Saccharomyces cerevisiae S288C: one gene and its partners. Changing the gene in region 1 together with any one later gene gives a genetic interaction. Each region holds a gene or a part of one and is shown on either strand. Other genes may lie near its edges.

Region 1 (8,769 bases):
CGCCAACTAACATGTAAGAAAGTAATAATTTATGAAAATTTAACTACTTATTGATTACTTAATCTTCTAATACAAGTATTTTTTGTTTCTAGAATAGAATTCAATCTATTTATCCGTGCAGAAAGGTCCAGAATGAGGGGTTTTACTTCATTTTGATTTACAAAGCCTTGCTCTTCTGCAGTTAATCTTTTGGATTTCTCTCTGATTATCTCAGAAAGAAACTCTATTATCACTGAACTTTTCTTTCTTCTCTCATTTTCCAACATCAGAAAAAGCAATTCGTTGTCAGTGTCCTGCGATAAAGTTCTTAACTTTTTCTCCAGGTCTTGTCTTCTTTTGATGGACTCTCGTACCCGAAAGCAAAGATTATTTAGTTTGGCTAATTGAAAATTTCTTTCTTTAATAGCAGCTAGCTCGCCTCCTTGGATTAACTCTGATGCAGATTCAAATTTAGATTCAAAGCTCTTTTCCAAAAACTGTAAAGTGTTCCATTTATCCCTTAAGGGATCATCATGCTTTTCAAATTCAAAGGCATCTAGAACATCAGAAACCTTAGTACCATGAAAGTCGATATTGGGATAAGAAGTTCTCGTATTTAAGACCGGCATAATAGGAGTTACTGGAACTGATGTGTTTACAGATGTAAAACCATCTGTTTCACTCAACTTCTTTTCAAGTTTGTTAATATTATTCTTAGCTTCAGCCTTCCTATGCTTATTTAGTATGTTTTCGAGGCGTATAATCTCAGTGATTAATCTGTTTTGTTCCCTTTGAAGATTTTTTTTTTTTCCTTCATCGAAGCTACCTTTATATTTTGGGCTGCTGAGTCAAACCGTTCTTCGCCAGATTGCAAATCCTCTCTTTCAGTCAAATTACCACACGTACTAATCTCTAAAGGGCTATGTTCATCTTCACCCGGTTTTAACGAAACGAAGCTGTCAGAAGAGCGTTTGTTTTCCGCCAAAGAAGTGTTTTTAAATGAAGAAAGCTCAGAATTGATATTGCCCTGCTCCAACACTTGTATAGGGGGGGTCTCTTCAAAGGAGAACAGGCCATACCTTTTGGAATCTCCTTCAGGACTCTTTTCATGTTCACTAGTCAGGTTTTCTCGGACATTCTGCTCGTTAAGATTATCAACTTCACCCAGGAGGCCTTCTCCCCGGTTACGTGCCTCCGATTTTACGTCACCGATTGACTTTATGCTATTCTTTCGAGACAATGGCCTCTTTTTAAAGAAAGTACTCACTCTCTTGATTAACCCAACAGAATTTTGACACTCTTCATTTGGATGTTCCTCAAAACTTAATCTCTGTTGAGCCACATTTCCTGAATATCTTTGAGTTGAGTACTCTTTATTTTGCCAACAATCATGGATAACCGGATGCTGCGGCAAGTCCATGTCCCGAAAAGTATTAGCTACCAACGTCATCTCGACATGGGGAGCGGGCTTTGTGATCATTTGTTTTGGAATCGAATAATGGATAATCCTTTTTGGAATGATCGGTGTCTCTTGAACATACTCCATAATTTGTTCACCTTCCATCTCATATATTACATATAAGGCCACACACAGACACAAGCTGAAACGAAAATATCTATAAATATACACTTCTTAATTTGTATTCAAGATATTCTTATCAAAGCACTTATTTTTTCATTATATTTCTATATTGATTTAAGGACGGTACGCTATTTTCTTTGTACCTTTTACTATGCATAAAAAAAGGGGAAGTGTTTAACAATCGACACTTACTTAATATGTTTTGCCGCCCTTCATAAGAGGGTGTTTCTAAAATTTATTGGGCAAGAATGAGATGGACTCGCACCCTACATGACGTTTAAATATTTAGTGTTAAGGTTCAGAACATGCACCAGGTGCGACATGTGTTGCGATTATCATGACAATGTCTCTATCCGAGATGCATTTGTAGTATCAATTGATGCGTATTATGACATGATTTACATAGCATACATCGTCAAACATGATATTATATTCTTTTTTTGATAAATGTACGGATTTAAAGCTGTCGAATATATTTTCTGAAATTTCTTGGAGCTGACGCAAAATTTTCAAAGGTGCTAAAATTTTTCAAGATTTCTCACTTTTGCTTGGTAACAAAGAATGATGGCATTGCATTTTTACCACCGGTACATTTAACTGCTATTTCTCACGTTTCTTTCCCTATCCTTAAGTAATTCTTTTACAATCTAAGAAAACCACGATCAAACAAATAAATCAGCAATGGGTGCCTACAAATATTTGGAAGAATTGCAAAGAAAGAAGCAATCTGATGTTTTGAGATTCTTGCAAAGAGTCAGAGTCTGGGAATACAGACAAAAGAATGTCATTCACAGAGCCGCTAGACCAACTAGACCAGACAAGGCTAGAAGATTGGGTTACAAAGCTAAGCAAGGTTTCGTTATCTACCGTGTCAGAGTTAGACGTGGTAACAGAAAGAGACCTGTTCCAAAGGGTGCTACTTACGGTAAGCCAACTAACCAAGGTGTCAATGAATTGAAATACCAAAGATCCTTGAGAGCTACCGCTGAAGAAAGAGTTGGTCGTCGTGCCGCTAACTTGAGAGTCTTGAACTCCTACTGGGTTAACCAAGATTCTACTTACAAGTACTTCGAAGTTATCTTGGTCGACCCTCAACACAAGGCTATCAGAAGAGATGCTCGTTACAACTGGATCTGTGACCCAGTTCACAAGCACCGTGAAGCTAGAGGTTTGACTGCCACTGGTAAGAAATCCAGAGGTATCAACAAGGGTCACAAATTCAACAACACCAAGGCTGGTAGAAGAAAGACCTGGAAGAGACAAAACACTTTGTCCTTGTGGAGATACAGAAAATAAGCTGGTTGATGGAAAATATAATTTTATTGGGCAAACTTTTGTTTATCTGATGTGTTTTATACTATTATCTTTTTAATTAATGATTCTATATACAAACCTGTATATTTTTTCTTTAACCAATTTTTTTTTTTATAGACCTAGAGCTGTACTTTTATTCTGCTATCAAGCAAACCCCTACCCCCTCTTCTCAATCCTCCCCTCAGGCAGAACTTATCTACCTGTATCAAGGAGCGGACGAGGGAGTCCTAATTGTTCTACGTATACCAATGCTAGCAGCTTACATAGGTGGTGGCACTACCATAATACTTATATATAATATCTTTACGCTCAAGTAAATTTCTCCGCCGCATAAATTAACACCATGTTCTTTTTAGTCGCACCTTATTTTCTTGTATTTTTTTTCTTTCCTTTTCTTCCCGTTTTTCCTTATTAGAGCCATTAGATAAAACTCAAGAAAAGCAAAAGAGAGGGCTATTTCCACTTTAAGAATAAGCCTTAATAATTGGCAAATAGATCGTCCTTTTTTCCAGTTTTCAGCATTTGTGTTTTTTTCTTGCTCTTTTTAGCGATTAGATAACATTCAAGATCTAATCAATACCCCATTCCAAACAAAGAATCCAAATATACCATAAATAGGGACAAAAAACAAAAGAGCTAAAAATGGGCAAATATACCAAGACTGCGATCTTGTCAGTTTATGATAAGACAGGTTTATTAGACTTAGCCAAGGGATTGGTAGAGAACAATGTTCGTATCCTAGCATCCGGTGGTACGGCCAACATGGTCAGAGAAGCTGGTTTTCCGGTCGACGATGTTTCTTCAATTACGCATGCACCAGAAATGCTAGGGGGTAGAGTCAAGACTCTTCACCCTGCTGTGCATGCAGGTATTCTTGCCAGAAATTTAGAGGGCGATGAAAAAGATTTAAAAGAGCAGCACATTGATAAGGTGGATTTTGTTGTATGTAATCTATATCCGTTCAAAGAAACTGTGGCTAAAATTGGTGTTACAGTTCAAGAAGCTGTAGAGGAGATCGACATTGGCGGTGTGACTTTGTTGAGAGCAGCCGCAAAGAACCATTCCAGAGTGACTATTCTTTCAGACCCTAATGACTATTCTATCTTTCTGCAAGACCTGTCTAAGGACGGTGAAATTTCTCAGGATTTAAGAAATAGATTTGCACTTAAGGCGTTTGAACATACGGCCGATTATGATGCGGCCATTTCTGACTTTTTCAGGAAACAGTACTCCGAAGGGAAAGCCCAATTACCGCTAAGATATGGTTGTAATCCCCACCAAAGACCTGCACAAGCTTATATCACTCAGCAGGAGGAGTTGCCCTTCAAAGTGCTCTGCGGTACACCAGGATATATAAATCTTTTGGATGCCTTGAACTCATGGCCCTTAGTGAAAGAGTTATCTGCATCATTGAACTTGCCTGCGGCAGCATCGTTCAAGCACGTTTCTCCAGCAGGTGCTGCTGTGGGACTTCCATTATCCGATGTGGAAAGACAAGTTTATTTTGTGAATGATATGGAGGATTTATCACCATTGGCATGCGCATACGCTAGGGCCCGTGGTGCAGATAGGATGTCATCCTTTGGTGATTTCATTGCATTGTCCAATATTGTAGATGTCGCCACTGCAAAAATCATCTCTAAAGAAGTTTCCGATGGTGTTATTGCTCCAGGGTATGAACCAGAGGCATTGAATATACTATCTAAGAAGAAAAACGGAAAATACTGTATTTTACAAATCGATCCAAACTATGTTCCTGGCCAAATGGAATCCCGAGAGGTTTTTGGCGTAACGTTACAACAAAAGAGAAACGATGCGATCATAAACCAATCCACTTTCAAAGAAATTGTCTCCAAAAACAAAGCACTTACCGAGCAAGCCGTTATCGATCTAACTGTTGCTACGCTGGTTTTAAAATACACACAATCAAATTCTGTTTGCTACGCAAAGAATGGTATGGTTGTGGGGCTTGGGGCCGGCCAACAATCGCGTATACACTGTACCAGATTAGCTGGTGACAAGACGGACAACTGGTGGTTGAGACAACATCCAAAGGTTTTGAACATGAAGTGGGCCAAGGGAATTAAGAGAGCGGACAAGTCGAATGCGATTGATCTTTTTGTTACAGGGCAAAGAATAGAAGGCCCGGAAAAGGTGGATTACGAAAGCAAATTTGAAGAAGTCCCTGAACCTTTCACCAAAGAAGAAAGACTAGAATGGTTAAGCAAATTAAACAATGTATCGTTATCATCCGATGCGTTCTTTCCCTTCCCAGACAACGTTTATAGAGCTGTGCAGTCTGGTGTAAAGTTCATCACGGCTCCTTCGGGGTCTGTCATGGACAAAGTTGTCTTCCAAGCGGCGGATTCATTTGATATCGTCTACGTGGAGAACCCAATTCGTTTATTCCACCACTAAGTAGGGTACATTTTATGAGAAGAACAGAAACAACATATATAGCTGAATACAAGTGTATATACGTAAACGTATACGATTTACTTAATTTTCTACGTCAAAGGCCTTCCTCTTCTGCGAGAGGACAAGATGTGAATATGTGAATTATAGAGATGTCTGCAGTATGGTTTTACCCAAATGATCATGGACCAACTAGGGTCATTTCATAGTGTTTAGGAATATACTGCGGTAGGACGAACAACAAAGATGACCGAACTCAGATTTTCCCACTCTGCACCCACATCCCGCAATCTCTTCGTAATAAGGAGAAAGCTGGCCATAGGACAAAGTATAGGAAAAGAGCTCAAGATCATGCGTCCTACTTAATCTAAGTTAAACTCGTCAACGGGGCCACTTCTGTCTCATCCATATATATCATGGCAACAGCCCCCGAACCCCATATACACATCGTTAAGGCAACAGCACCCGATGCAACGACTAAGAGAAACTGCTCGTAGTCTGACGACTCAAAACTCTGATCACGAAGATCAGAGGAGAAGTCAGGAGCTGCATCTCTTATGTGATGCCGTTGTCCGAAGCGCCATCTAGATGAATACGTGAGGCCCATTGGAGGCTCCTTGAGACTCTGCCTCTCGAGCGTTGAAAAACGCTAGCCCAGTGTTTTAGAGAAGCTAAGCAGCAATAGCAAGAAATGCACACACACGTATGCGAGTGACTTCCCTTCCCTGTATAGTACCGAACTAGCACGAGACTATGGTTACTTTTTTTTTTACAAATAAGCAAAGAGAAACTTGAATGGGAAAAGAAGTTTACCATAGAAGTTAAATGCACGACGATGAGAGTTTCAAAGTGTTTATATAGGCGAGAGAATCTAAAGGAAAATTTTTCTTGAAATAAAAAAGCACTGTCAGGGTAACAATGTTAATAATAGCCGCTGATGGTTTAGGGTTACTACGCTAGAAGGACATAAAATCATTATTTACAAGAAACATACAAGGAGGCAATTTTTTAAACTCTCAATGTAGGATATTTCATTTAACTGCACTAGTGGCATCTATTATACACAATTACTCCAGTAGCTGCCACAAAGCACCCAAAGATAAGAATAATTACGGAAAATGAAATTTTTACTTTGAATATGATGATATGGGCATTGCAGGTTTGTAGTAAGAGCAATTTACAGGAATTCCTGACGGAATATTAATGTTTTCTTACTGTTTAATGCGATGTACATATTGTCAATACTAATGGTCACCACTGGAAATGGCTATCTTTCGTCTTCGTGAATAACGATCGCCGAGAGTCGGACCGAGTGAGTCAGCGTGATCGGCCTCATTTACCTTGTCGCCTTGCACGTCGGTATATAAACGTATGTGGATACTTTAAGAAGGGAAAGCGCAACCGTCCAAATTCTAATGAACAAAAGAACACAGGAATACAAGAACACAAGAGCGATAATGTCTGCCACTCTGTTCAATAACATCGAATTGCTGCCCCCTGATGCCCTTTTTGGTATTAAGCAAAGGTACGGGCAAGATCAACGTGCTACCAAGGTCGACTTGGGTATCGGGGCCTACAGAGACGACAACGGTAAACCATGGGTCTTGCCAAGTGTTAAAGCCGCCGAAAAGCTAATTCATAACGACAGCTCCTACAACCATGAATACCTCGGTATTACCGGTCTGCCAAGTTTGACATCTAACGCCGCCAAGATCATCTTCGGTACGCAATCCGATGCCTTTCAGGAAGACAGAGTAATCTCAGTACAATCACTGTCTGGTACGGGTGCTCTTCATATATCTGCGAAGTTTTTTTCAAAATTCTTCCCAGATAAACTGGTCTATTTGTCTAAGCCTACTTGGGCCAACCACATGGCCATTTTTGAGAATCAAGGCTTGAAAACGGCGACTTACCCTTACTGGGCCAACGAAACTAAGTCTTTGGACCTAAACGGCTTTCTAAATGCTATTCAAAAAGCTCCAGAGGGCTCCATTTTCGTTCTGCACTCTTGCGCCCATAACCCAACTGGTCTGGACCCTACTAGTGAACAATGGGTTCAAATCGTTGATGCTATCGCCTCAAAGAACCACATCGCCTTATTTGACACCGCCTACCAAGGGTTTGCCACTGGAGATTTGGACAAGGATGCCTATGCTGTGCGTCTAGGTGTGGAGAAGCTTTCAACGGTCTCTCCCGTCTTTGTCTGTCAGTCCTTTGCCAAGAACGCCGGTATGTACGGTGAGCGTGTAGGTTGTTTCCATCTAGCACTTACAAAACAAGCTCAAAACAAAACTATAAAGCCTGCTGTTACATCTCAATTGGCCAAAATCATTCGTAGTGAAGTGTCCAACCCACCCGCCTACGGCGCTAAGATTGTCGCTAAACTGTTGGAAACGCCAGAATTAACGGAACAGTGGCACAAGGATATGGTTACCATGTCCTCCAGAATTACGAAAATGAGGCACGCATTAAGAGACCATTTAGTCAAGTTGGGCACTCCTGGCAACTGGGATCATATAGTAAATCAATGCGGGATGTTCTCCTTTACAGGATTGACTCCTCAAATGGTTAAACGACTTGAAGAAACCCACGCAGTTTACTTGGTTGCCTCAGGTAGAGCTTCTATTGCTGGATTGAATCAAGGAAACGTGGAATACGTGGCTAAAGCCATTGATGAAGTGGTGCGCTTCTATACTATTGAAGCTAAATTGTAATGATTAAATAATACTTATACTTACCTATTACACTCTTCATATTTTTTTTAATGTAAAGAAAGTAAAAAAAAAAAAAAATAAAAAAAAGAGAAATGCTCTTTCTTTACCTTCACAGGTGTATTATTATGTTGTTGTAATATCCGGGTAGGTTTATTGATCGAGGCGAGGCGAAAGGGCATATTCGAAACAATCATTATGATAATAATGTCAATATAGAAATTGAAAAAAAAAAAAAAATCCTACCGCCGCATCGACGCTCCTGTTAGACCTTTGAACGGAAATCACCCACTCTTTACTGTATATATTTTATTCCACCTCTGTTTCCAACGACCATTTCACCATACCACACAACTCCCATGAACATAAAGGATAGAACTTCAGAATTTCAACAAAGTGTGTTGAGTTACAAGAAAAGAAACAAAAACTTTAGAGAACAGCAGAGGGAACGTCTACAAGAGAAAGAAAGTGAAAACTTTGCCAACAACACAACCGGCAATGGGAAAAGTGTCTCTGAGTTTCAAAAAAAGGCTTCTGGCATAGCTCACGAAATTTCATCCACCGCACAATTATTATCGAAATTAGCAGTGCTGGCCAAAAGGAAACCGATGTTCAATGACAACCCTGTAGAGATTGCCGAGCTATCATTTTTGATCAAAAGGAAGATTTATGCCATCGAACAAAGTTTAGTGCAATTAAGTCAGCTCAAGAAAACCGACGTGAATGGCAACACATCAAATCAATCTTCTAAGCAACCTAGTGCCGTAC
Region 2 (7,358 bases), on another chromosome or scaffold:
GGAGCAAGTTCGATGAACAGTCCTTAGCTAACGCAAATATCTAAAAAAATATTCATATGAAGACTCTTTCTATCTACTATAGTTTACAAATATAATACTGTATATAAGACCATTTATTGGCTTAAAAGATTTTAACCAAGAGCAATCCTATGGAACGTTCTGTCCCACTTCACTCAAGTTTTTGAAAGGGTAAAAATTAAAAAAATTATAGAATTAACAGTAAAATGTGCTACGTTCCAAAAAAAAAAAATATGCACTATAGTATATTACTACATGTAATACTTCGGTCAAATACACTGGGAGTAAGTGAAAATAGAGATTGTTATCTCCATTAGTTTCTTCACATTCAATAACTACTTTTTCCGTATGAGGCGCTTACCTCATCAAAATGAAGAAAAAAAAAAGTATATAAGCAGCGTGATTGTCCGATCGAAATCTTTCATTTCTCACCCTCTCTCTCTTTAAACAGTCGCCCACACGTTCCCTCTTTTTTTTTTTCGATTGTTTTAGTTCCCCCCCTGCCTTTTCTTCTTTATCTTGTCCTTTTTAGTTTATCACATTTTTTTTGTTTTTGAGTATTTATCTTGTATCTAACTGTCTATCTGACTAGGAATCAATTTGTAAAGTTCTAAAAAAAAATTTAAAGGCGGCTATTGAAAATGAAATACGTTGTTGTTTCTGGTGGTGTTATCTCAGGTATTGGTAAGGGTGTTTTAGCGTCCTCTACAGGGATGCTACTGAAAACCCTCGGCCTAAAGGTTACTTCCATCAAGATTGACCCATATATGAATATTGACGCCGGGACGATGTCTCCCTTGGAACATGGTGAGTGTTTTGTACTTGATGATGGTGGGGAAACGGACTTGGATCTCGGTAATTACGAGCGGTACCTCGGTATTACCTTAAGCAGGGACCACAACATCACCACCGGTAAGATATACTCCCACGTAATTTCCAGAGAAAGGAGAGGTGATTATTTAGGTAAGACAGTTCAAATTGTTCCTCATTTGACTAACGCAATTCAGGATTGGATTCAACGTGTTTCAAAAATTCCAGTGGATGACACAGGATTAGAACCAGACGTCTGTATCATCGAGTTAGGTGGTACGGTCGGTGACATTGAGAGTGCGCCCTTCGTGGAAGCATTACGACAATTTCAGTTCGAAGTTGGAAGAGAGAATTTCGCCCTGATCCATGTTTCACTTGTGCCCGTCATTCATGGTGAACAGAAGACGAAACCCACCCAAGCAGCAATCAAAGATTTAAGGTCATTAGGGCTTATTCCCGATATGATTGCCTGCAGATGCAGCGAAGAACTTAACAGGAGCACTATTGACAAGATTGCCATGTTTTGCCATGTGGGGCCGGAGCAAGTGGTCAACGTTCATGATGTTAACTCCACGTACCACGTTCCCTTATTGCTGCTAAAGCAACATATGATCGACTACCTCCATTCAAGGTTGAAATTAGGTGAAGTGCCTCTAACCTTGGAAGACAAGGAAAGAGGGTCTCAATTATTGACTAACTGGGAAAACATGACCAAAAACCTAGATGATTCTGATGATGTTGTCAAGATTGCTCTTGTGGGAAAATACACTAATTTGAAGGATTCCTACCTATCTGTGACCAAATCCTTAGAACACGCAAGCATGAAGTGCCGTCGTCAGCTAGAAATCCTCTGGGTAGAGGCAAGTAACCTAGAGCCCGAAACTCAAGAGGTGGACAAGAACAAGTTCCACGATTCATGGAATAAGCTCAGTTCCGCCGACGGAATTTTGGTTCCTGGTGGATTTGGCACGAGAGGTATTGAAGGTATGATTCTTGCTGCCAAATGGGCCCGTGAATCCGGTGTTCCCTTTCTTGGTGTCTGTCTTGGATTACAAGTTGCCGCTATCGAGTTCGCCCGCAATGTGATAGGCCGCCCAAACAGCAGTTCTACAGAATTTTTGGACGAGACACTACTAGCTCCTGAAGACCAAGTAGTCATATACATGCCCGAGATCGACAAGGAACACATGGGTGGCACGATGAGATTGGGTTTGAGGCCTACCATTTTCCAACCGAACTCAGAATGGAGCAACATAAGGAAGCTTTATGGTGAAGTTAATGAGGTGCATGAGAGACATCGTCATCGCTATGAGATAAACCCGAAAATAGTGAATGATATGGAGTCTCGTGGCTTTATTTTTGTTGGTAAGGACGAGACGGGCCAGCGTTGCGAAATATTCGAATTGAAAGGCCATCCATACTACGTGGGCACTCAATACCATCCAGAGTATACATCGAAGGTGCTGGAACCATCAAGACCGTTTTGGGGGCTTGTGGCCGCAGCCTCCGGCACACTTGGTGAAGTGATCAAGGACATAAATCTAAGCGAGGGAAATGAAAATGAATGAATTGATGCGCTTACTACTTACTTACATACGGTTTTTATTCAAGTATATTATCATTAACATTAGTTGGTTAGACCAATGACACCACAGGCTGGTCTTGGACCGGCATTACCAGTCTTCAAAGATTCTTCAGTGTCACCCTTACCTAAGTCATCTTGGCCGGCGTGGATAACGACGCTTCTGCCTACAACGGAGGTAGGACCGATAAGCTTGATCAAAGAGTCCTTGAAGGAGCCCTTGGCCACACCATTTTCGTCCGTCTTTACGTTACCCATGTCACCGACATGTCTGACTTCGTCAGTTGGAGCACCATGTGTCTTCTTGAAAGGATTGAAGTGAGGACCAGCAGAGACACAACCATTGGTGGCATCTCCAAACTCATGAATGTGGAACCCACGTTCTGCGTTAGGACTGTTACCAGCGATCTCGTAAGAGACAGTGGTTGGCTCGGATTCGGAAGCCTGTTCGAACTTGACAACACCAGAGACACCGGCATCACCCTTTAACACTGCGACTGCTTGAACCATTATAAATTAATTATGTTTTATTTGTTTGCGCGATTGCTTTCTTGCCTGTTTTTCCGCAACATAGTTACAGCTAAACATTTGCCCAAAACCATCTTCTTATATATATATCTGCGATGGCGAGCCCAGCGGAAGGGATGTCCGCTTACTAATTCCGACACACCGGTTTAACCCCCCGGCGTGCTGGGGTGGGTGCCCCTAAGGGAGCGGGTTCTGTACTTCCAGTAAGCGGCATTTGCGCTGTCATCGCCTTATCGAACCCGCTACTGAGATCATGTCCTGAGTGGGTGAGTCGCACGCCCAATCGGCTGCACTTCAGAGATACTTACGTCCAATTTCGCATCATGCCAATATTACCTGTGGAAGTTGAAACTTTTTTTGCAGATGCCGATAATTTTCACATGGATGAGTCGCAGTGTCGTCGTACGTGATGAGGGCAGGCTTGAAAATTATTCTTCGAGCCCAATTCTCTTTACTTATAGGCATGCCATGTCTAATTAGGTAGTCATCTCAGTTTATCTTGTGCAGGGTAGAACCAAAGATAACAGCAAAAGAAAGAGCAAGCAATTATGACCGCACCATTGGTAGTATTGGGTAACCCACTTTTAGATTTCCAAGCCGACGTCACGGCTGAATACCTGGCCAAGTATTCTCTAAAGGAAAACGACGCAATTTTGGTCGATGCCAAATCAGGCGATGCTAAGATGGCTATTTTTGACGAGCTCTTACAGATGCCAGAAACAAAGCTTGTTGCAGGTGGTGCTGCTCAAAACACTGCTAGAGGGGCAGCATACGTTTTGGGCGCCGGCCAGGTGGTGTACTTCGGTTCCGTCGGTAAGGACAAGTTCAGCGAGAGATTGCTTAACGAAAACGAAAAAGCTGGTGTCAAGTCTATGTACCAAGTTCAAAATGATATTGGTACCGGTAAGTGTGCCGCATTAATCACTGGCCATAACCGGTCCTTGGTCACTGACTTGGGTGCTGCCAATTTCTTTACTCCAGACCACTTGGACAAGCATTGGGACTTGGTCGAAGCAGCTAAGCTCTTCTACATCGGTGGTTTCCACTTGACCGTGTCTCCAGACGCTATCGTTAAGTTGGGCCAACATGCTAAAGAGAACAGCAAACCTTTCGTGTTGAACTTTAGTGCTCCTTTCATTCCTCATGTCTTCAAAGACGCATTGGCCAGAGTTTTGCCTTATGCTACCGTCATCATCGCTAACGAATCGGAGGCCGAAGCCTTTTGCGACGCCTTCCAATTAGACTGTGCCAACACTGATTTGGAAGCTATTGCTCAAAGAATTGTCAAGGACTCTCCAGTTGAAAAGACTGTCATCTTCACCCACGGTGTCGAACCAACAGTGGTCGTGTCCTCCAAGGGTACCAGCACATATCCAGTCAAACCTTTGGACTCTTCTAAGATCGTCGACACCAACGGTGCTGGTGACGCCTTCGCTGGTGGCTTTATGGCTGGGTTGACTAAAGGTGAAGATTTGGAAACCTCTATTGACATGGGTCAATGGCTAGCTGCTTTGTCTATTCAAGAAGTTGGTCCCTCTTACCCTTCCGAAAAAATATCTTACTCTAAATAGATTCTTCTTACAATATAATAGAAATAAAATATACTCTACGTGTTCCCTCTAGCTTTTCATTCGTAGACATGTTTACCGCTTGTTCTTAAACCAAATAAGCCACCGTTACCACAATAAGGAAAAGAGGCGCTATAAAGTACAGCTTCAAGAAAAAAGGACAAGCAGCGCTAAGAACAAAATACTCGTTCATCCTCTCCACATACGGCCGTACACAAGCAACAATAACACAATAATATGGACTGGGCAATCAATGTCGCCCATCCACGATTACTTTACAAGGATCCTAAACTTTCAGTAACGTTTATTGTGCCGAGCTTATTTCATATCATTATTGCTTTCGTGTTATTAGGAATATGTGCATCCGATTTTCTTTGCCCCAACGTGGCCCATATATCAGATCCCAACAGCCTTCGATCGAATGGTTCTTTAGTCTCAAAAACGGCGTCCCATGCATCTCATACTGGGGCATTAATGGCAGTTCTACTATCTTGGTGTAACTCTTCGCCTGACCTATTTTCCAACTTAATGAGCTGGGCAACCTCTACGAGAGAAACAAGGTCAACCTCAGTATCGCTATCAATTGGTGAGGTGCTTGGCGCTTGCGGCATTATCCTGTGCATTGTAGAGGGCTCCATTTTTATTATTATGTCAAGAACTCACATTGAAATCTCGCAAATTCAAAAACTATCCATCATGAGAGACTTGTTATTTTCTTTAGCTGCCATGTGCGTAATGAGTTACGTTTCCCTTATGAATCAGGTCACTGTGCTGAATTGCCTTTTGATGGCGTTCCTTTATGCCTTTTATCTAGTCGTTAAGTTAACTTTCAAGCTTAATCATTCTGCAGAAACCCCAGATGAAACTGCTGCGGATACGAGCCTCAGAGAAAACTCCGTTTCTCCTTTTTTGGATGACTCTCTGATGGCTTCTGGTTTACTACCACCAATACAACCTGGCTTTGACATATCCAATTCTATAACACACGGCATTAAGCCTAGTTTGCTATCTGCTATGGATTTCAATAGTTTCTTATCAATGCTTGAAAACTCATCTTTGGAGGAGGATGACTCAAGGAATGAAATGGCAGAATTGAACACTCTACGTAGCATGACGCCGGGACAACATTGGTCCGCCTCTGCAACAGTTGCAGGAGAGGCAACGAGTGCTGGAAGACCTTTCAGTGAGCCAACGAATGCGTTTACGGAATATAGAGATTCTGAAAGAGCAATAAATAGTTCCCCAGCGGTGTTCGCCCCCTACCGTGACAACCCTGATGATGAAGAGTCTCAAGAGCAAGTATTATTGGAGACAACAACGCATGGTCATTTTGGTGCGCAAGAAATGCGAAGGTTCTCCAAAAGGTCTCTGGGCTGGATTATAAAAATTTTCATACCACATCTCTCAAATTTTTCCCAGAAATCCATCTCAGATGCGATCTTTTCCATAATAACTGTTCCGTTTTTCATTATTTTCAAACTATCATGTCCTCAACCGCCTTCAGATATTTTGAGTTATGATCCCACTTTGAACAGATACTCTTTAACAACGTTACCCATAATTTTATTATTTATCCAATCAATTACTGCACCCTTCCTCCTTTGCAGTATACTTTCTGTGCTTTTGACATATCATCTAGGCTATCTCGTTTACCTTTTCCCTCTTATATTAGCTATGGCCTTAATTTTACTATTGACGGCTTTTATTACAAAGGTAAATCTGCATAACAAGTTTACTCTGTCATTAGACAGCTCTAACATTTTACAGGAAAAGCTACAAAAAAGAAAACTCCTCGAAAGGCTTAACACAAGCATCCAAATAATTTTTCTAGCTATCGGCATAATAAATATCATAATTTGGATATCACTTTTAGCCAATTCTCTTATTGAGATGATGGAAATTTACCAAAAAATATTAGGATTATCGAAAGCTATTTTGGGCCTTACCATTTTCGCATGGGGCAACTCAGTAGGAGACTTGATCTCCAACATATCTATGTGCAGGCTCTACAAAACCCAAACTCACTACCAAGACAGAGTTCGTTTAGCCACAAAATTTTTTATGATATCATGCGCATCTTGCTTAGGAGGCGTAATGCTGAATTCTATGGGTGGAATAGGCTTTAGTGGGCTAGTATCAATGCTTTTTATTGGCGCTTTTAATGATAACGAATGGTGGTTCCTAAGAAAGGTTAAATTACAAGAAACAAGTCAATTGGATAATACATTAAATTACAAATTCATAGTTTCTTGCGTCTTCATTATCCTACAGATTATTCTCTTGCTGTTATTCTTCGGAGGGCCTAACAATATTAAACGGCGCCTCACAAAGGAGATGAAGTTAGTCGGAATCTCTATGTGCGGACTATGGGCACTAGCCACGTTGATTAATATACTTCTAGAACTGTTTAGCTAAAGCTTGCAAGAGTGCCTCCCGAAAAATTTGTTTTTGTGACATTTATCTGGCGCCGTAACAGATCCGCGCAGAACACAGAACACCAAGAAAAGAAGTACTATTTAATTTCAAGATTACTTAGACTCCGTCATTCAAATCGCCCTTTTATTCAAACAAAAATGGGCCATATATTCTTTCTGTCTCAACCTTCGTTTCCTTGGATGAATTATTTTGATTGAGCTCCAAAAAAAAAGTTGTAGCCAGGAACTATCCAAAACTTCGATTGAGAAACCCATAACAATGATGCCTGCCAGACTTTTCATACTATATCTTTTTGTAGTACTCATGCCTGTTGTTCATTGTTCGTCCAACCTGCCCATCACTCCATATATCTATGAGCGTCTAGTATATTTTATTAAGGCAAGCTCTATATCAAGCTGCATATCTGACAACTTACT
Region 3 (8,199 bases), on another chromosome or scaffold:
TCAAGAGGGTCGGCAACGTTTCCGGTAACACTATGGTCCAAGGTGATCTTGAAGTGAAAGATACAGACTACTATTATGCATTTATACTGGACAACTCGTCTTCCAAGAATGCAAAAAAGAAAATTCTTTTTAACGCAAGTGTGATAAACGGCGATAATCAATCGATGATAAGCACAAGATCCACCCCTCCCGCAAGGCCTACAGCTTTAAGCAGAACATCTACTCAACAGGATATGTTATTTAGAGTAGGACAAGGTCGTTACTTGCAAGGCTACCTGCTGAAAAAAAGGAGAAAGAGACTACAAGGTTTTAAGAAAAGGTTTTTCACCTTGGACTTTCGATATGGAACCCTATCGTACTATTTAAACGACCATAATCAAACTTGTAGGGGTGAAATTGTCATAAGCTTGTCATCTGTTAGTGCCAATAAGAAGGACAAAATAATCATAATTGATTCTGGTATGGAAGTTTGGGTCTTGAAGGCTACAACTAAGGAAAATTGGCAGTCGTGGGTCGATGCGTTACAAACTTGTTTTGACGATCAGTTCGAAGATAAGGACACGTCCACTTTGGAAGAAAATCCCGACATTCTTGACGATGACAAGGAAGTAATTAATAAAAGCTCACCTCAAGACCACGACCACCTCACGCCCACGGCTACGACCAAAAGTGCACTATCACATAGACAGCATACTCAGAAAGACATGGATGACATATATGTCCCATTGCCCAGCGAATCTTACGCTACTTTCTCCATGAATCTACGTTTGATTCAACAACGACTGGAGCAGTGTAAAAAAGACTCGTTATCTTATAAACCAACTACTTTACATCAAAGATCGGAGGGGCTAAATGGAACACATTCGTCATCTTCCGTCTTTACCAATAATAGAGTGTCTTCATTCAATCATTCTTCTTCTGGTATGACGTCATCTGATTCTTTAGCCTCTGAAGAGGTTCCTTCCAACAAAACATATATTGAGCATGCTTTATATAACCAATTGGCAGATCTTGAAGTATTTGTTAGCCGGTTCGTTACACAGGGAGAGGTTTTATTCAAGGACCACCAGATCCTGTGCAAGAAAGCAAAAGACACGAGAGTTTCTTTAACTTCATATCTTAGCGAGAATGATGAATTTTTTGATGCAGAAGAGGAAATCAGTCGGGGAGTCATTATATTACCTGACACAGAAGATGATATTAATAATATAGTCGAGGAAACTCCCCTTCTTGGTAAAAGTGACCAAAATGAGTTCACAAAAGAGGTCCAATTGTCGGGATCCGAACAGATAGCTTCATCAAGTGTGGAGAGCTATACAACTAACGATGAAAATCATAGCCGTAAACACCTCAAAAATCGTCACAAAAATCGTCGCCGTGGCCACCCTCATCATCAAAAAACCAAAAGCGCCCAATCCTCAACAGAAACATTTACAAGTAAGGATTTGTTTGCTCTTTCCTATCCAAAGAGTGTTACACGCCGTAATGACATACCTGAAGCTGCAGCTTCTCCGCCAAGCCTATTATCTTTTTTGAGAAAGAATGTAGGCAAAGATCTGAGCTCTATTGCCATGCCAGTAACCTCAAATGAGCCTATTTCTATTTTGCAGTTGATATCAGAAACATTTGAGTATGCTCCACTTTTAACGAAGGCTACCCAACGTCCTGATCCTATAACCTTTGTTTCTGCATTTGCTATTTCCTTTCTTTCCATATATAGGGATAAAACAAGAACGCTAAGAAAGCCTTTTAATCCTTTACTGGCTGAAACATTTGAACTTATACGAGAAGATATGGGGTTTAGGCTTATATCGGAAAAGGTCTCACATCGTCCTCCAGTATTTGCCTTCTTTGCAGAGCATCTCGACTGGGAGTGTAGTTACACTGTAACGCCATCGCAAAAGTTTTGGGGTAAGTCTATTGAATTGAATAACGAAGGTATACTGAGATTGAAGTTTAAGACAACTGGAGAACTATTTGAATGGACGCAACCAACAACTATTTTAAAAAATTTGATAGCGGGTGAGAGATATATGGAGCCTGTCAACGAATTCGAAGTACATTCTTCGAAGGGAGACAAATCACACATCCTGTTCGATAAGGCAGGTATGTTTAGTGGAAGATCTGAAGGATTTAAGGTTTCGATAATCCCACCACCTTCGAGCAATCGCAAGAAGGAAACTCTAGCTGGTAAATGGACACAGAGTTTAGCTAATGAAACTACACATGAAACTATATGGGAAGTAGGTGATTTAGTTAGCAATCCGAAGAAGAAATATGGCTTTACTAAATTCACCGCAAATTTGAATGAGATAACTGAAATTGAAAAGGGCAATTTACCACCTACGGACTCAAGATTAAGACCAGATATTAGAGCTTACGAGGAGGGAAATGTTGATAAGGCGGAAGAGTGGAAGCTGAAATTGGAACAACTTCAACGTGAAAGACGTAATAAAGGGCAAGATGTGGAGCCTAAATATTTCGAAAAAGTATCTAAGAATGAATGGAAATACATAACTGGACCGAAGAGTTATTGGGAAAGAAGAAAGAAGCATGATTGGTCTGATATTTCTCAACTCTGGTGAATGCCTTGATGACATCAAGTGAACTTTTTTCCCCCCTTTGTACTCTATTTATTTTCCATCTTTAATGATCATCCACACAAATTACTTGTATATGCGTTCATGTATAGTATACTATATACAACATGAAGGACTTTATAAATTCTTGATCAATCTTTCACACTAATTTTATATTAACAGTTCTACACTATTTTTGTTTGCTTGACTGTAAAAACATTCTATTTTATGATTAGTTGCAAAACTTGAAAAAAACAATAGAATTTCATCACATAATTGAAAGATAATGAACTCTTTCAGTCAGTTAGATCCATGTTTTTTGAAGAAAAGTTTACGAACACAGGATCTTACAAAAGGTGCCTAAATTTGGAATTGAAAGTCTATTGCTATCAAAACTTGTCAAAGATAACATAGCTTGGAACATCTTATCCTTTATATGTCCTGCTAAGTCATATCAAGAGGCCCCAATAGTTTCGTCGAAAAAGATAAAGAGGAATATGGAAGGGAAATATAAGATTATCAACTGGTTACCTCAAAATAGACTATATGCTCACATCATCAATTGATATTGCTTGTAAAAATACCCCCAAATACCCTGGCATTCTTTTTTTGACTCCCTGCCAGTAATGTCACATCTTATCACTTTAGCTACATGCAACTTGAATCAATGGGCCCTAGATTTTGAAGGTAATAGAGACCGTATCCTACAGTCCATTAAGATTGCCAAAGAGAGGGGTGCCAGGTTACGTGTCGGCCCAGAACTGGAAATAACTGGCTACGGATGTTTAGATCATTTTTTAGAAAATGACGTTTGCCTTCATTCATGGGAAATGTATGCTCAAATCATTAAGAATAAAGAAACCCATGGATTAATACTTGACATTGGTATGCCCGTTCTACACAAGAATGTTCGTTATAATTGTCGTTTGTTATCCTTGGATGGTGAGATATTGTTCATAAGACCTAAGATTTGGTTAGCTAATGATGGTAACTATAGGGAAATGAGATTTTTCACACCTTGGATGAAACCTGGCGTGGTGGAGGACTTTATCCTTCCACCTGAGATTCAGAAAGTTACCGGCCAGAGACTTGTGCCATTTGGGGACGCTGTGATAAATTCATTGGATACATGCATTGGTACAGAAACTTGTGAAGAATTGTTTACACCTCAATCCCCCCACATCGCCATGTCTTTAGATGGTGTGGAAATCATGACAAACTCATCTGGTTCTCATCATGAACTGCGTAAGTTAAATAAAAGGTTAGACCTAATTTTAAATGCCACTAAACGTTGTGGTGGTGTTTACTTGTATGCAAATCAAAGAGGTTGTGATGGTGACAGATTATATTATGATGGCTGTGCACTAATTGCCATCAATGGTACAATTGTAGCCCAAGGTTCACAATTTTCGCTAGATGATGTGGAAGTAGTTACTGCTACTGTGGACCTAGAAGAGGTGAGGAGTTATCGTGCAGCTGTCATGTCTCGTGGCCTACAAGCCTCCTTGGCAGAAATAAAGTTCAAGCGTATTGATATTCCTGTAGAATTGGCTTTAATGACCTCCAGATTTGATCCTACAGTGTGTCCAACAAAAGTCCGCGAGCCTTTCTATCACTCTCCTGAGGAAGAAATTGCACTGGGACCTGCTTGCTGGATGTGGGATTATTTAAGACGTTGTAACGGAACAGGGTTTTTCCTTCCCTTATCTGGGGGCATTGACTCTTGTGCAACTGCAATGATTGTCCACTCTATGTGCCGTTTAGTGACCGACGCTGCTCAAAATGGAAATGAGCAAGTTATCAAAGACGTTCGTAAGATAACACGTAGCGGCGATGATTGGATTCCAGACAGTCCACAGGATCTAGCCTCAAAAATATTTCACTCCTGTTTCATGGGTACGGAAAATTCATCCAAGGAGACAAGAAACAGAGCAAAGGACCTTTCCAATGCAATTGGATCTTACCACGTGGATTTAAAGATGGACTCATTGGTATCCAGTGTGGTGTCCTTATTCGAAGTAGCCACTGGCAAAAAACCAATATACAAAATATTTGGGGGATCTCAAATCGAGAACTTGGCTTTACAAAACATCCAGGCGCGTCTAAGAATGGTTCTTTCTTATCTTTTTGCGCAACTGTTGCCGTGGGTTCGTGGTATCCCAAACTCGGGTGGATTGTTAGTACTTGGTAGCGCAAATGTTGATGAGTGCTTACGTGGGTATCTAACAAAATATGACTGCTCCTCCGCAGATATCAACCCTATTGGGGGTATTTCAAAAACTGACTTGAAAAGATTCATTGCCTACGCATCAAAACAATATAACATGCCAATCTTGAATGACTTTTTAAACGCTACACCAACTGCAGAATTAGAACCTATGACTAAAGATTACGTTCAATCGGATGAGATAGATATGGGGATGACGTATGAAGAATTGGGCGTGTTTGGTTACCTAAGAAAGGTTGAAAAATGTGGTCCTTATTCTATGTTCTTAAAACTTCTTCATCAATGGTCCCCAAAGTTAACACCTCGTCAAATATCTGAAAAGGTGAAAAGATTTTTCTTCTTCTATGCCATCAACAGACACAAGCAAACTGTTTTAACTCCTAGTTATCATGCTGAACAGTATTCACCAGAAGACAACAGATTTGACTTACGTCCTTTCTTAATCAACCCAAGATTTCCATGGGCTTCAAGAAAAATTGATGAAGTTGTCGAGCAGTGTGAAGCACATAAAGGCTCAACGCTTGACATTATGTCTATTGATTAGCACAGAAGAAGTGCTCACAGCAAAATAAGACTTTTCCACGAGTTCATATATTCTGTTATTTATTCTATCATAAATAAAGATATAAAAGTGATATTTAACCCTTATGTATTTTGCACGGTTTTGTGTTGACCCCAATTAGTCTTGATTACTACATTCCTAGAATCGTTCCGCTTCCAGAAATCAATTAAAGTGATTGCTGTTTTTATAGGCGAATCTTCTTGAATGAAATGCCCGGAATCTTGGAAAACTACCAACTGATATTTACCTTGCATTTGCCCCACAATTAATTCTTTATCGAGATTTTCGTTTCCCGCCAATATTAATAATTTACTAACAGGTAAGCCAACAAAGGAGTGCGACAGATCGGTAAACCATGTGTCCCAGAAAGGGCTAAAGGTCTTAAGGTTTGTTATCCTGACAACTTTCCCTGACTTGAGCGGAGCAAATAAAGCTGGTATAGCAATTTCGGCGCTTGACCTCAATCTCGATAACGCGTGTTGAACGTGCCAATCGACAGCGTCATTAATTGATTCAAATACATTGGGTGTATTCTGCAAAAAATGTTCAACTTTATTTAAGGCCATAATGGCAGCCTCTTCTACAATATCTAACATAGTAATACCAAGAATTTTCTTTTGTAGTTCTGTTGATAATTTAGGGTACGCAAAAGTACATATACTTCCACCAAGGGAATGACCAATTAGTATAACAGATACCTTCTGAAGTGGCTCTTGGCTTATTTTAGACTTAAACCAATAATTTAGCAGGCTTACAAAATCTTTGATAAAAGAGTCCCTGTCAAAGCATATAGGCGCATCAGCCTTCTTAAACTTTGTTTCTGCATGCCCCCTAGCATCAAATGCAAAGCATCCGCATCTTCCTTCTAGTTTAGTATTTAATTCCTTGGCCAAGTTTGCAAATGATAAACCTGAGGAGCCCGCCCCATGGTGGAAAATAAAGATGGGAATTGAAGTGGTATTTGATAACAATGAAGTAGGTAATGTATAGTATGTATTTACGTCCAGATCTCTATCAGGAAGACTTACCAACTCCTTATTATCAAAAAAATCACTCCAAGTGGGTAAACTACTCTTTTCCTTACTTGAAATTCTATCAGTAGTACTACCGGTTTTGCCCGTATATTTTCTGTTCCTATTTGATTGTCCATTAAATGATGGCAGGGAACCTAATGCATCACCATCGTTTTCATCATCCTCGTATGCTTCTTGGAATGTCGCATCTAGAACATTCTTGGCTCTCTCAAACTGGGATAAAGCAATTTTTCTTCTCAAATCGTCAGACATTGAAAATTTGAAAATGTCCTACCGTTACTACCAGTTTGTTGCCGTATTTTTGACTCTTTGTTGAGCATTAGTTGATCATTACCGCTGCAGTCAGTTAATGATATCCCTAAATAGGCATATTGTACAATTTCAAATATATTACCCGAATTACAAGAACAATAGGGTCTTCTACAATATTACTATGAACAATTCATAGGGGAACATAGTCCACTTCAATGTCGGTGCCAACGATTCTATTTGTTGTAAGTATATATGCTGTTTCCCGGCAATACTTTATATTGGGGGAATTTTCTGGAGGTTTAAGGGCATATTACTACGTCAAGGCTGGGATTGACCTTCTGGTATATATTACGTTGCGCAGGACATTCCTTATACTTGAGCCTTTGTAAAAACTTCTTCGTTCTCCTGACCAACCGTTCAATTATGTTGTGAATTTTTTGATCCGAGTTTGAAACATCCAAATTCACAAACAAACCGTTGTCATCCTGAGTTGGCGTCGGCCATTGAGCTTCCTCTATGTGTTTTAAATCTTTCATTTTAAGAAATCTAAGTAAGGAAATTGTTTCTCCACATGTGTACCGTATAAAGTTCTTGTTATGAATTAGAAGGATTATCACAAAAGCCCTCCATCAAATCTGATAATTTCATTACCCAAAGACTGTAATACCTTGGGTGTAAAGATCGTATTTTTTGATGTCTTCGTGATATTTTGCAGATCTTTCCATTTTATAAATTTCTGCAAATATCGTGCATCAGCTCATCTTGGAATTGGCACAATCTGCGTAATTTTTTTCTTGGTTCTCTTCTCCTTTTGATTTTAAGAGCGCTTTCTATTCAGTAGCAGATTTTCAGTAAATAAAGCCATCTTTCTCAAGTAAACTCATGATCATGCAGTTGTTCAAAATTACACCAATAACGATGTTATCTTTAAAACTTTCCCCAGAAAGAAGATGGCACTTTTGCACTAAATACTTCAAACTATTTAACTTTGAAGCAGGACATATTGCCGGTTATTTGACCATGCTGGCGCCGTTGACATTCATGTAAGCAGTATTAGCTTTTAAACTGCCATTAACGCACCTATACGATTGCGGCGGTGCGAAAACAGTAACTAGCACTCTTACGGCTCATTGTTTCCTCTATCCAAAGTTGCCTATATCACAATAAAATTAGAAATTAATCATTTTAATAAGCTTGCTGCCATTCAGTGACTCGCAATCTACGTTTTAAACGTAATTTAAAAATCCACTTCCACCTACATATTTTGCAACAGTCGTACGACAGAAACTGAGGCTCTATAAAATGAGATGTGCTAATTGTTCTTTCTTGGCTGGTTTCAGCTACATCTTTCTGTAATCAATCTACAAATTTACACGCGAGCTTCATTTTGACAGTAAACAAATGTAAAAGACACATGCAATAAAAGCGGTCCAGAAAACAAACGACAAAGCCACCAAAAATGTTTGCAAACGTTGGATTTAGAACTTTGAGGGTCTCGAGAGGTCCCCTTTATGGTATGTTTATTGTTTTATTCATTGGTGTGCT

The links. Genes that interact genetically often act in the same process or in processes that back each other up.
Region 2: of ADE16 (region 1) and ADO1, a mutation in one rescues a mutant of the other (synthetic rescue), as found in Saccharomyces cerevisiae (one study listed by BioGRID).
Region 3: mutations in ADE16 (region 1) and QNS1 together harm fitness more than expected from each alone (negative genetic interaction), as found in Saccharomyces cerevisiae (2 studies listed by BioGRID).

Annotation. Positions count from the first base shown.
Region 1 is NC_001144.5:196,064-204,832, reverse strand, and holds ADE16 (bifunctional phosphoribosylaminoimidazolecarboxamide formyltransferase/IMP cyclohydrolase ADE16), read left to right. Parts: upstream 1-3,517; coding exon 3,518-5,293; downstream 5,294-8,769. Other genes in the region: YLR031W (uncharacterized protein), read right to left, coding at 48-608; YLR030W (uncharacterized protein), read right to left, coding at 752-1,543; 60S ribosomal protein eL15 RPL15A, read left to right, coding at 2,243-2,857; aspartate transaminase AAT2, read left to right, coding at 6,748-8,004; SED5 (t-SNARE syntaxin), read left to right, coding at 8,361-8,769.
Region 2 is NC_001142.9:620,095-627,452, forward strand, and holds ADO1 (adenosine kinase), read left to right. Parts: upstream 1-3,486; coding exon 3,487-4,509; downstream 4,510-7,358. Other genes in the region: CTP synthase URA8, read left to right, coding at 660-2,396; superoxide dismutase SOD1, read right to left, coding at 2,456-2,920; ECM27 (Ecm27p), read left to right, coding at 4,744-6,921; LIH1 (putative lipase), read left to right, coding at 7,246-7,358. UniProt on the Saccharomyces cerevisiae protein: ATP dependent phosphorylation of adenosine and other related nucleoside analogs to monophosphate derivatives. ADO1 does not play a major role in adenine utilization in yeast.
Region 3 is NC_001140.6:242,988-251,186, forward strand, and holds QNS1 (glutamine-dependent NAD(+) synthetase), read left to right. Parts: upstream 1-3,205; coding exon 3,206-5,350; downstream 5,351-8,199. Other genes in the region: oxysterol-binding protein related protein OSH3, read left to right, coding at 1-2,585; PPE1 (phosphoprotein phosphatase methylesterase 1), read right to left, coding at 5,452-6,654; type 2C protein phosphatase PTC7, read left to right, coding at 8,114-8,168.